Linked DNA regions of Rattus norvegicus. The main gene of each other region encodes a partner of the protein of the gene in region 3 in a complex. Links are inferred from orthologs where the notes say so. Each region holds a gene or a part of one and is shown on either strand. Other genes may lie near its edges.

The links.
Region 1: the proteins of Slc3a1 (region 3) and Slc7a13 are in contact, whole or in part, in a cryo-EM structure (PDB 8WK6), measured with the Homo sapiens proteins. The link is inferred for Rattus norvegicus from reciprocal best matches to the Homo sapiens genes SLC3A1 and SLC7A13. Residues at the interface, in NP_000332.2 of Homo sapiens: Pro64, Tyr65, Ala66, Gly67, Met68, Pro69, Lys70, Leu73, Phe76, Ser77, Arg81, Tyr82, Pro85, Arg86, Leu89, Phe90, Thr93, Ser96, Val97, Leu100, Ile101, Thr104, Ile107, Ile108, Ser111, Cys114, Leu115, Glu194, Asn195, Asp202; in NP_620172.2 of Homo sapiens: Ile120, Phe123, Phe124, Pro125, Ser126, Cys127, Leu132, Pro133, Cys136, Leu137, Leu139, Ala140, Met141, Trp143, Ile147, Arg151, Lys187, Thr265, Arg267, Asp281, Arg282, Glu450, Cys454, Tyr455, Gln457, Leu458, Leu459, Phe460, Asn461, Ile462.
Region 2: the proteins of Slc3a1 (region 3) and Slc7a9 are in contact, whole or in part, in a cryo-EM structure (PDB 6LID), measured with the Homo sapiens proteins. The link is inferred for Rattus norvegicus from reciprocal best matches to the Homo sapiens genes SLC3A1 and SLC7A9. Residues at the interface, in NP_000332.2 of Homo sapiens: Pro64, Tyr65, Ala66, Gly67, Met68, Pro69, Lys70, Leu73, Phe74, Phe76, Ser77, Tyr82, Pro85, Arg86, Phe90, Thr93, Val97, Leu100, Ile101, Ala103, Thr104, Ile107, Ile108, Ser111, Cys114, His201, Asp202, Thr373, Glu374, Pro375; in NP_001119807.1 of Homo sapiens: Cys137, Phe140, Tyr141, Val142, Gly143, Cys144, Pro147, Ile149, Val150, Cys153, Leu154, Ala156, Ala157, Leu160, Phe161, Thr164, Leu168, Thr279, Thr281, Asp295, Arg296, Tyr299, Tyr343, Val346, Arg347, Lys467, Thr470, Met471, His472, Gln474.

The regions. Positions count from the first base shown.
Region 1 is NC_086023.1:38,073,008-38,077,199, forward strand, and holds the start of Slc7a13 (solute carrier family 7 member 13), read left to right. Parts: upstream 1-1,290; 5' UTR 1,291-1,351; coding exon 1,352-2,042; intron 2,043-2,695; coding exon of another isoform or gene 2,696-2,881; intron 2,882-4,192. UniProt on the Homo sapiens protein: Associates with SLC3A1/rBAT to form a functional heterodimeric complex that transports anionic and neutral amino acids across the apical plasma membrane of renal epithelium.
Region 2 is NC_086019.1:97,249,845-97,253,486, reverse strand, and holds part of Slc7a9 (B(0,+)-type amino acid transporter 1), read right to left. Parts: intron 3,528-3,642; coding exon 3,380-3,527; intron 2,590-3,379; coding exon 2,347-2,589; intron 1,896-2,346; coding exon 1,770-1,895; intron 1,385-1,769; coding exon 1,285-1,384; intron 45-1,284; coding exon 1-44. UniProt on the Homo sapiens protein: Associates with SLC3A1 to form a functional transporter complex that mediates the electrogenic exchange between cationic amino acids and neutral amino acids, with a stoichiometry of 1:1.
Region 3 is NC_086024.1:15,391,821-15,396,262, reverse strand, and holds the start of Slc3a1 (amino acid transporter heavy chain SLC3A1), read left to right. Parts: upstream 1-1,513; 5' UTR 1,514-1,551; coding exon 1,552-1,972; intron 1,973-4,442. UniProt on the Homo sapiens protein: Acts as a chaperone that facilitates biogenesis and trafficking of functional transporter heteromers to the plasma membrane.

The DNA.
Region 1 (4,192 bases), on a different chromosome or scaffold from region 3:
TTTCTCTTCTTATGAAGCCACTAACCTTGTCATGGTATCCCACCTTTATGATCTCACCTAACTCTAACTTCCAATAGTTCTCTCCAATACCATTGACCTATAACTTTGGGAATTCATTTTTTTTCAGTACCTGAACAATTTTAGAGAATACATTCAAGCCATAATATTCTTTCCCAAATATGTGTCATAGTCTCAGGTAAAATACATTAATTCAATTCCAATAATCTCCAAGTATCAGTCCATTTAGCACCAACTCAAAAGATTGATCATCTGACTTGAATATGGGTCAGATTTAAGTCCTGCACCATCCTGGGAAAAATTCACTGCAGTTTTGAAAGTATGAAATGAAAGAAAAATCTACTTCCAAAATGCAGTGTTGGGATAGACATAGGACAGAAGAATTAATTCAAAGGGGACAATAGGCAAGTACAAAGGAAACTGTCACCAGTCACACTCAAAACCAAACAGAACACATGAAGTTTTAAGCCTGGAGAAGCACTTCCTTGACTCCCATCTTACCTCCAAGGTGTAGTGATCCTGTTTGCATAGCTACATTAGACAATTTTCCCATGGGGTCACACTTCATTTTTGATTTCTTGATGAAAATTTCAGCCACACTTGGGGAAGCCAGCAATGCTGTGCCTTGAATTGATCCTTGTGTGTCAGCCTCCTGAGTGGCTGAGACTATAGGCACTCTACGTCTTGATTCCCTGAAAATGCTCTGTATTCTCCAACATACTTTCATTCTGCTTCCTTCCTAATCTCCTCTCTTATCTCACTGCAAAACATTGAAATCTGGGTATGGTGATGTATGCTGGTGAGGCAGAAGTAATGTGTAGGTTTAGTCCTGCCTTGTGTATAAGGCAAGGTCCAGGGCAGCCAGGGTTATATTGCAAGACCCAGTCACAGACAGACAGATAAATACCCACAGAAAAGCCCACTTGTTTCCCAGTTTTGAAATTTCTTCCACCTCGTATCTTTCTTGTGACTTTTCAGTTGTCCACCTAATCTTGGCAATTGTCCGTGGATGCAGTGAACACAGCACAGACAAGTTCTTAGCAACTTTAACAAGAACACTCTTTATTCCCGTTTCCTAACCTTGATTCCTTTAAAATTCCCTTTTCAATTGAAATGCCTGATTCTGATAATTATTAAAAGAAAGGTCAGACTAAGTCCTTACAGGTAACCAACCCATTTTATTTCACTTAAATGTGTCACACCTACTTTGTTAATTATTGAACATAGATCATATTTAATAGAGGTGGAATAAGAAGAGAGCTGTACATTCAGAGCATCTATATAGGTAGAAACATTCACAGACTAGAATTTTGTTGAGCGTAAACTACTCTCAATGGCAATGGATATAGAGAAGAAAATATATCTCAAGAGACAACTTGGATATTTCTGGGGGACAAATTTTTTAATTATCAATATAATTGGTGCAGGGATATTTGTGTCCCCCAAGGGAGTGCTACAGTACTCTTCCATGAATGTGGGAGTCTCCTTGTGTGTTTGGGTTTTCTGTGCAGTGCTGTCCATGACCAGTACTCTCTGTGCTGCAGAGATTGGAATAACCTTCCCATACACGGTGGCTCACTACTATTTTTTAAAGAGATGCTTTGGCCCTTTTGTGGCATTCCTAAGACTTTGGACTTCCTTGTTTACGGGCCCAGGCGTACTGGCTAGTCAAGCTCTGCTACTCGCCGAGTATGGCATTCAGCCTTTCTATCCCAGCTGCTCTGCCCCGGCTGTACCAAAAAAATGTCTGGCCCTGGCGATGCTGTGGATTGTGGGAATTCTGAATTCTCGTGGTGTGAAAGAGCTGTCATGGCTTCAGACAGTGAGCATGGTGCTGAAGATGGGTATACTTAGCTTCATTTCCCTCAGCGGCTTGTTCTTGCTGGTGACAGGGAGGAAGGAGAACGTGCGAAGGCTTCAGAATGCTTTTGATGCCGAGTTTCCAGAGGTCTCTCGGTTGATAGAAGCTATCTTCCAAGGATACTTCGCATTTTCTGGCGGAGGAAGTTTTACATACGTAGCAGGTAATTATTAATCTGGAGGGGGGGGGGAGAAAACATGGCTGATATGTTGTATGTGAAGTGAGAATCTTTCATTATGCATTGACTATCATCTTAGCGATTTTATCAAACTCTATAGCGATCTTCATTCATTAAGTTCCTAAATCACCTATTCTTAATTTTTCTCCCCATTCAATTCATTTCAAACTAACATGAAAACAAACAAAACCCTTCTCTTTTTCATCTTAATTTTTCTGGGACCAGAAATATGAGACCTCCTGATTTAATGCACTTTTTCTTTCTGTTAATGCATAAATGCTCAGAGGGTGCAAAAAACTCAGTCCTGTGAAACTGTGGATCCAGGAATGTCGTAAAGCCAGACTGGGTTGTGTTGCAAGTGGCTGCACTCTTCGGCTCTTCACTGATTTCATTTATTTAGTTTTGGAATCGTGTTTTTTAATTATAAAAATTTCTTCTTCCATGGATGAATGTGTTGCTAAAGGTTCATACGAAATTACATTTGGGAGATGGGGTGGGGTCATACACAGCTCAATATTAGAGCATTTACTTAACATGCTTGAGGCTCTGGGTTTGATTCCTAGGACAAGAAAAAAGTTTTGGATTATTGCCAGTACCAACGGTCATCTGAGAGAGGTTTCCTTTTCCTCACCCCTCAGCCTGGCCCTCCTGGACACATGAAGTGGACGCGCTCCTACAGCTTCAAGACCTTTCCTTACCATGGCAGCTGTGCGCTGCTGTAGCCCTTTCTTGTGGGGCATTGCTTCCTTGTTCGCCTCAGGGCATTGCTTCCTTGTTCGCCTCAGGGCAGGGGCTTTGCTTTGCACCTGTACTAGGTCCTTTAGGTATTTTTTTTTTTAAACATAAGAGAATCATGAATCATAGCTGTCTTGACAGCTCTCAGGCAACACTTAATACCTCCCTTTCTTTTCTTTTTCTTTCTTTTTTCTTTTTTTTAACTTTCTTTATTAGATATTTTATTACATTTCAAATGTTATCCCCTTTCCCGGTTGCCCCTCTCTCCCATCCCCCTTCCCCTGCTTCTATGAGGATGCTCCCCTTCCAACCCAGAATTGCTCCTGTCTAAAGGAAATACAGGAACAAAAAGTAGAGCAGAGATTGAAGGAAAGGCCATCCAGAGACTGCACCACCTGGGGATCCATCCCATATGTAGCCACCAAATCCAGACACTATTGAGGATGCCAAGGCGTGCTTGCTGACAGGAGCCAGATGTAGCTGTCTCCTGAGAGGCTGTGCTAGAGACTGACCAATACAGATGTGGATGCTTGCAGCCAATCATCAGACTGAGCATGGAGACCCCAATGGAGGAGTTAGGGGAAGGACTGTAGGAGCTGAAGGGGTTTGCAAACCCCTAGAAAGAACAACATCAACCAATCAGACCCCCCAGAGCTCCCAGGGACTAAACCATCAATCAGAGAGTACATTTGGAGGGACCCATGGCTACAGCTGCATATGTAGCAGGCAGCAATGGTAGGGGAAGCCCTTGGTCCTGTGAAGGCTCGTTTTGCTGGTGTAGGGGAATGCCAGGGTGGCAAGGCAGGAGTGGGTAGGTAGATGAGTGCCCTCATAGAAGCAGGAGGGGGAATGGGATAGGGGGATTGTGGAAGGAAACCAGTAAAGGGAATAACATTTGAAATGTAAATAAATAAAATATCCAATAAAAATACATTTAAAAAAGTTAGTTTATATTGGGTCCAAAAGTGAGGAATGAAGAAAAAAAGACTCGAATAATTCTTTCGAAGTTTGCGACTTAAAGAGAGTCTTTATGTCTGTGAGTGTGTGAGTGTATGTGTGTGTGGTGTGTGTGTGTGTGTGTGTGTGTGTGTGTGTGCATCGTGTGCATGTGCACTTGTGTGCACACACCTCAGAAGAATGTACTTTGAAGTAATTTAATCTTGTTCTGCTGCTGGAGATGCATCATTTTCATGTAATTATTTCTGATTAAGAAAGATCTAGAACAGTTAATAATCTTTAAACTAATACAGAATTTCTCTCAAATGGCTGATGGTCAACAAACAGTTGAGGATGTTTCAATATGTCCTGTCCCTATACTCCATAAAACCAGGTGTCATGTATTACACCTATAATCCCAGCACTCAGGAGGTATGAGAGGAGGACCAGGAATTCAAGGGTAG
Region 2 (3,642 bases), on a different chromosome or scaffold from region 3:
TGTAAGGGTTTCTAAGCTCTTCAGTGATGTAGTTAAGTTGGTTCCTAGACAAAGAAAAGTAACGAGGATGACACCATGACGTGCTACATGACTCTCTTGGCTAAGTTTGTGGAGCAATGATAAATGTTGATTCATTTTAAGATTTCTACTGTAGGACACATAACTCAGCATCAGTGTCTACCTAAAAACCCCCAGTGAGGGGCTGGGAGTGTGGCTCAGTGGTAGAGCCCCTGCCTAGAATCCCCCAGTGAGGGGCTGGGGGCGTGGCTCAGTGGTAGAGCCCTGCCTAGAATCCCCCAGTGAGGGGCTGGGGGCGTGGCTCAGTGGTAGAGCCCCTGCCTAGGATCCCCCAGGGAGGGGCTGGGGGCATGGCTCAGTGGTAGAGCCCCTGCCTAGGATCCCCCAGGGAGGGGCTGGGGGCATGGCTCAGTGGTAGAGTTCCTGCCTAGAATCCCCCAGTGAGGGGCTGGGGGCGTGGCTCAGTGGTAGAGCCCCTGCCTAGAATCCCCCAGTGAGGGGTGGGGGGTGAGGCTCAGCAATAGAATGCTTTCTTAGCATATACAGAGCCCTAGGTTCCATCCTCAACAGTAAAAATAAAACAATGCAAGGAGTGCTGACAGAAAAACAAAAGGCCAAAAAGAGCTTTCACACCAGTGCAGGGTAACTTCTGCTCCCTAGGTCCTGGTGGTGACAAGTCTTCCTTGCAACTTCCAAGTGCTAGCTGTCTGATACTGGGTTAAGTCTCTGACCTCTGTGGAAATCATGTGAATTTCCAAGAATATTCAGGGTACTTTGAAAATCTGGAAAGAGGTTGGAAGAAGGATGAACCCTGTACCAGTGGTAACGGGGAGGCCAGCATCACCACGGCCATGCTTCTGCCTTGAGGGACACAGCACAGTCCATCTAATGTCTGCAGGACTGCCGGGCTAGTACCATTGAAAATCCTTGGTCTTGTCAGGTGTTTGGGCAGCCTGTGCTGCCTCTATGCAGCTCAGATGGAATTCTCCAGGTACACAGAGCTTCACCAACGACACCCTCACCGGGCACTGTCAGGGGCCGGAGCCAATTCCGGGCTGGGAAAGGGTTAAGGTGATCATGTGGCCCCATGATCTCATCTATGGTGTCCCAGGGATGTGGGAAGGTCAGGGTTTGAGCATTTCATGTGAAGGTAAAGCTAAAGATGCTGTACCCCGGAAAGGTGACATCTTTGCTCTCCATAGCAGCTGAAACTGAAGCTTCGTAAAGACCCCACCAGTGGACTGGGAGTGTTTCAGGAGCGCTTACCACCCATCGTAGGCCCAGAGTCCGTTGTAAAATGCCAGGCTGATGGAGCCCACAGAGGTCTGTGAACCCTCAAAAGAATTCTGAAAGTTCTTAACATTTCCTGAAATTAAGCCAGACAGTGAAGCGGGAATGTCAGCTAGCCAGACACTGACTTCATTCCCCTCTCTACCGGAAGAAGGGTATGACTCCTGACCCATTTATTAAAGGAACCGAAACTTCACGTGATAGGACATGTCTGTCATCCCAGCACTCAGGATACTGAGGCAGGAGCATCGTAAGTTAGAGACAAGCCTAGGCTATATGATAAGTTCCTGTGTCAATCAATCAATCAATCAATCAATCAGTCAATAGATCAATCATCAATGCCAACAAGCAAGCACAAATACATAAACCATAAAACACACGTGCTCGTGGGCAAGACTGCTCTAGAAGACAGGAAGTCACATGCCAGGCGGGGCCTGCTCTCCCATCCTGCCACACCTCACCTTGCGCCAGGAGGACCAGTCCGCTGATGATGATGATGGCGACGATCACCAGCTTGGCTGCCGTGAAGACATTCTGCACATAGCTGCCAAGCCGCACGCTCAGCGCATTCACTGTAGTGATAAGCACTGGAAGGCGCAAGTCGGGTAACATTCTGTATTCATCGTTCTTCCCAAGGTCCTGGAAAGCCCTTCTTTTCTATTCCCCCACCACCCCCAGACCCTCAATAAAGGGAGTAGAATTAAATAAACTGGCTTTAGCAACTTTAAGATACACCAATGTTGACACTCAAAATCAAGCCCAATCTCAGACTGTGAAGGAGAAGCAGCCAGGCCCTGAACAAGGAAAACCCAGGATAGCCCCCTTCCTGCAGCTCCAGGATAACCCCCTTCCGGCAGCTCCCACAGGCCTGGGGGTTTGCCCACCACCTGCTGGGATGGCCAACCTGGGCCTGTTTCACCAGGCCCTGCAGGCCTGCTGTGCTAAGTAAGGAAGAGCCAAGACTAGATTCCGAAGATGTCAACAACTCGGGCCTTCCCTGTCTCCCCTCCCATCCCCCCACCCTGGCTGGTAACTCACAGATGGCAGCAGCAGCCAGGAGTTTCACTACCACAGCAGGAGGCCTGCAGCCTAAGTAAAAGGCCGCACACACATACTCTGAAAAGCTGAGGCAGATGATGGCGAAGGATGAGGGCTTCATGACAATCAGGCTGGTCCAGGAGAAGAGGTAGGCAGGGATGGGGCCGAAGGCCTCCATCAGATAGGGGTACTCACCCCCTGACTTGGTGATCATTGTGCCAAGCTCTGCAAAGCACAGGGCGCCTGGAACACAGGAGGGAGCCCACTCCTTATGAGGTCCCATCCTAATCCACAGAACCTTCCTCCTTTGGGGGCTCACAGTCTGAATAGCCCAGTCCTAGCTGCTGGACCTTTAACTGCAAGCAGATTCACCCTTATTTACCACACACCCACTGCAAAAGGAAGCCAGCTGGGCATGGTGGTACAAGTCTATAATCCCAACTCTTAGGACCTTTTCTGGGGAGCCCTAGCCTCTAGATGGGGAAGGTCGAATAGTCCTTAGCACTACAAGTTCAATCCCCAAGCAAGTACGTGGGATTCCTGGAACACCTCTCCATGCAAAGGAGGTGTTCCTAGTACCTTTAAGTCCAGCCAATGAAACTTCACCCTAAGAAGAACCTCTTCCCATTCTCCAAAGGTCCGTATATATCCCTAGTTCACCCTGAATAAAATGGATGTGTACAAACCAACCCAGAATAAAGGTATGCATACAAGCTAAGATCCTCTGAGAGAGCTGTTTCACTGGTGACTGTCAGAGAAGGCCTTCATCTAGAAGAGCTGTAGCGCTAAGATCCTCAGGGAATACCCCACACACACACACACACAGACACACCGACACTCCCAGCCTCATCTGGATCCCGCAGAACCCTACCCATTTCAGACACCGCTTCATCCTTCCAGCCTGGTGTCTAAACACCCTGAGAAGAAGGACTCGGAACCACGGCTACATCCCACAACAGGCATACCACAGCTTGAGACCAGCCTGGGCTACCAAATGAGACCCTGTGCTTGCGTGGCTTGTCGCCTCTATTACCCAGTGTAGCCAGGACTCCACAGGCTGCCCATATGATGAGACAGGGCCCCACGGATTCTGTGTTGGCCAGCACAGACTTGGGGGAGATGAAGATCCCGGAGCCGATGATGGTGCCCACAATGATACAGATACCACTGAGAAGACCCACCTGCATGTGCAAGAAGAGAACTAATTCTACCAGCTGGGCGTTCACAGGGCCAGAGATAAATTCCCCCAACCCCAGTGAGGCCAGAAGAACCCAAGCTGACTCATGCCCCAGGCAT
Region 3 (4,442 bases):
GAAGCCCCTGTGGTGTTGGGCACCCAGAGAAGACAGTGGAGTCTGAACGTCTCATGCACCCCGCACCCCACCCAACACAAGAATGATAAAAACATTTTAATTAAGAAAACACCTCCTGGGCTGGGGAGATGGCTCAGCGGCTAAGAGCACTGACTGCTCTTCCAGAGGTCCTGAGTTCAAATCCCAGCAACCACATGGTGGCTCACAACCATCTGTAATGGGATCTGATGCCCTCTTCTGGTGGGTCTGAAGACAGCTACAGTGTACTTATATATAATAAATAAATAAATCTTTAAAAAAAAAAAGAAAACACCTCCTGTCTAATCAAAGCCCTCAAGTGTGACTGATCATCTTATTTCTTGAGGCCTGGGGAATCTCTGAGGCCAGCCTTTCAACAGTTTCTGGGGACTTGCAAATGTGTTCTACACTTGTCAATGATTAAACAACTACTTAGTATGAGGATTAAGGACTGTTTGCCTGTAGTAAAACACTTGAACTTGCAAGGCTCAGCATCCCATTCCCCCACCTTTTCTGGAAGTGCTTACAAGAATGTTAAACCACATTCTTCTCTGAAATCAGGATCAAAGGCCTGAGGTTGAACTGAGCACACACATGCCTTGCTTAGTCATACACAAGGGCTGTCTGGAGTCGGCCTGAGCTGACATGAAATGAGCTTCAGCGACAAAATGCAGTCCCCTGTCTCCAGAGCTGCTGCTGTGGATCTGTAGGGGAACACCTGCAAACAAAATGGACAGCCAGCTTCTCCTTAGAAAGTTTGAGATCATTTTTCTACCTAGCTAAAGAAAGAAAATGTCAATGTTTTTCAACCATTGTGAAACAACACTATTATACCCACTTAATAACTGGCTCGGTGGCAGTGTGTCTGCATTATTGTAGTACCACAATTGTCCATCTCTAAAACTCATCAAAATCCCTAGCTAGAATTCTATTCCATTGGCCAACACTTTCCCACAGTTCCTCCTAAACCCCCAACCACTGTTCTGTTCTGTGCTTCTGTGAACATAGATTCCTTCTCTAAGTGGAACCACACAATATTTGTGTGGCTGTGGTTATTTTCCACTCAGCGTAATGCCCTTGAGGTCCATCCATCCTGTAGTGTGTGTCAGACTTGGCTTCCCTTTCAGGGAATAATTTCTCCTGTACGTCCATTTCACATTCACATGATGATGGGTGCATCTCTGGGTCACCTCCACCTTTTGTAGATTTGTGAATGGAATTACTGTAGGCAGTTGGAACTCACACAAGTAGCATCTTACGGTGTTTGGAAGCCCGCCTCTTCTCCCCAGTCTCCTCCCCCATGTACTGTTACTGTAGCTGAGTCAACCACCTGGTGTAAAGATCATTTGTGCACACACCCCCTCCCCCTGACCCCCTTTACTAAACTTTACCCTTTCTTCCTTGGCTGGACTTTGTCCAGCCAGGATTATTTATAAACCATTCAAAGCTCATTAATAAACCACAGCACCCAGCAAGCCACCTTTTCACTCTGTCCCTACTGGAAAGCACTGGGAAGAGCTGCACCGGATAGACATGAATGAGGACAAAGACAAGAGAGACTCTATCCAGATGAGTATGAAGGGATGCCGGACGAATAACGGGTTTGTCCAAAATGAAGACATCCAGGAGCAGGACCCAGACTCCAGGGACACTCCACAGTCCAACGCTGTTAGTATCCCTGCTCCAGAGGAGCCTCAACTAAAGGTGGTGCGGCCCTATGCAGGGATGCCCAAGGAGGTGCTGTTCCAGTTCTCTGGCCAGGCTCGCTACCGGGTGCCTCGGGAGATCCTCTTCTGGCTCACCGTGGTCTCCGTGTTCCTGCTCATCGGAGCCACCATAGCCATCATCATCATCTCTCCAAAATGCCTTGACTGGTGGCAGGCAGGTCCCATGTACCAGATCTACCCGAGGTCTTTTAAGGACAGTGACAAGGATGGGAATGGAGACCTGAAAGGTGGGTGTTCGGCGCTTAGGACCAGTGGAGGGTGGTTTGTGGGCCAACTCCCAGCTTCCTGGAAACCACTTTGTGCCTGGCTTGTGTGGTAAACACATTCCAGGATGGCTGGCACCCGTTCCCCTGGGAGTTCATTCAAGCACCACTCAGCAGAAGCCCGCAAGCCTTGCTCCTGATGCAAGGCTCTTTGCTGAAGGATTCAGAACCAAGGGGTTGTTTAATCTCTTGCCCACTAAACCCACGCACATATTCATTCACCCATCAATCCTAAAATCTGATTTTGTGGCTCCGTGTTTCATCTGAGACTGGCTCTCTGGGGACAGGCACAGTGTGTTCTTTAGCTGAGAGTTTATTAATAAATACATCGTGTTATACAAATGTCTGCAGAAGGGATGACTGTCTTCAAGTTTCAATCCTGAGAGATAAGAGAAGGCTAAAGGCTCACCAGTTGTTGCCTAATAAAGGGTTCTCCACAGCGGCAGCCATATTGATAGAAAAATAGAACCAAACGTTTGGATTTTTTTTAAATTAAGCTAAAAGTTCTGTATGTCATTTCTTATCCTTATAAGTGGATTATAATATATGTTCCATCAGCCATATTAAGATTGAAACTGTGCTAGACAGTGGGTGTAAACTAGATTGGCTCATGAGTCACCATGGTTTAGGACACAAGAGAGCTGGGTGCTGTCCCTCTGGCTTGTAATGCTAGCCCTGAGGAGGCTGAGGAAGATTGCCAGGGCTAAAATCAAAACAGAAAGTGGGGAGGGGGAGAGAGAGAAGGAGGGAGGAGGGGAGACAGAGACACACAGAATTATAAAAAGGGAGTGCAGTGAGAAGAAATAAACTAGGAAGGAAATTCTTTTCTTGCAATGATTATTTGTTTGAAGGAAAAACCAAGATGGTGTGGTAGAGTGAGTTTGTCTTTAAAATGTCATATGTTCAAAGCCCCCAGACTTCCTTAATGAAAGGCTTCTTTGTTTTGTACTCTGTCCTGTTTGTCCCCCTCCCACCCCTGACTTTTTCTCCACACTCTCCGTCTGGGGTGGATCCCCAGCTTTGCCCTGTGAGACAAGTTTCAGCAGCCTTTCCACTCTTAAAAATAGTTTCTCCATCTTCACTATCTGGAGAACTATGTATCTGTCCCCAGGGGCACGACTCAGAGCTGCCACCTTCTTGAGGCTTTATCTTTCACCTTCATCATGGTCCCTTGCTGCTTTGGACGTTATGCCCCTTGGCACTGCCTGCAAGCTCCTGTTTCCCCTCCTACTCAGCAAATGTTGGCAACCTCGGATTTGACAATCCAGAACCAGGGACACACTTCTGCCTCCTGGGCCTGCCTCCAGCTCGCTCCTAAGTGGCTTCCAAGTCCCCACAGACATGCAGTTTCTAGTCAGCTCTGTGTGTCTTCTGTTTTACCTTTGGAAACAGTCGCTTCCTGATATCCAGTAGGTACTGTTCCTCAAGTTCAAGGATTCTGTTATTCTGAAGAAATTGCCCCATGTTTGGTTTTAGTGTTGCCTTCTGTCTCTCCAAAGATGGGACTAGGGTCCCTCAGTCCCTTGGTGGTATGTCGTTCCCGACCCCCAGCTGCCCCAGTCTTCTCCCTTCCTTATGCTGGAGTAGCCACTCTGCTCCAGGGAACCCTGCGTCCTCAGTCCTGTGCTTGCTTGGGGTGTAAGTGGAAATATTTCTGCCGCCAGCTGTCGCCCTGAAATGCTGTAGCCAACTGGAAGGCAGCACAGCAAGCACCTGCTACAGCAGGATGGGCATATCCAGGTGCTCAGTCTCCATTCTCAACAGGGCAGCTAGGTCCTGCTGAGTGACAGAGAAACGCAGAGACTGATTCCACAGGGCCCCAGTCAGGGTTCTTGATGGGAGGCGTAGGCTGGAATAAAAGGGAAGAGAAATGCACAGCAAAGCAGTCCTGGCCAAGGTGTGGCCATCTCTCGTAGATGCCTCACTCTCCAGCTCTGGTCATCCCGGTGCTCTGCCGAGGTGCTGAGAGCTGTGAGAAATCTCTTTCCCGGAGATAAGCTCCTCCTCTGGCTGGCACCAGGCTTCAGGCTTTTTCCTCTCCCAGCAGGAGATTCTGGGGGGAAAATTCTAATCCCTGAGGGGCATCTGTTTCAATAGTCTGAAAACCAAAGAGCGTCTCTAAATGTCTCCCCTTCTGCCAGGATGCTGTTGCCAGGGTCAGGAGACTTTGTGCTTTGGTCTTCTTGACCTTCTGCTTGTTTAGATGAGGCATGCTTTAGGTAGGCTCGTGGAAACACAGAGAAAAATACTGGCTCAAGGCTTCGAATCTGCATTTAGGACCACGGTCTAGAAGCCACAGCAGGCAATCGTCCTACAGGGTTCCACATACAGAGCTTAACTTCCATTGGTCCCTCTGACAAGCCAAGAATCTCTTGTGTGTGAACTTCTGCCTTTCTACATAAGTGAACGAGGACCGCTTGCTGTAAAGACAGCT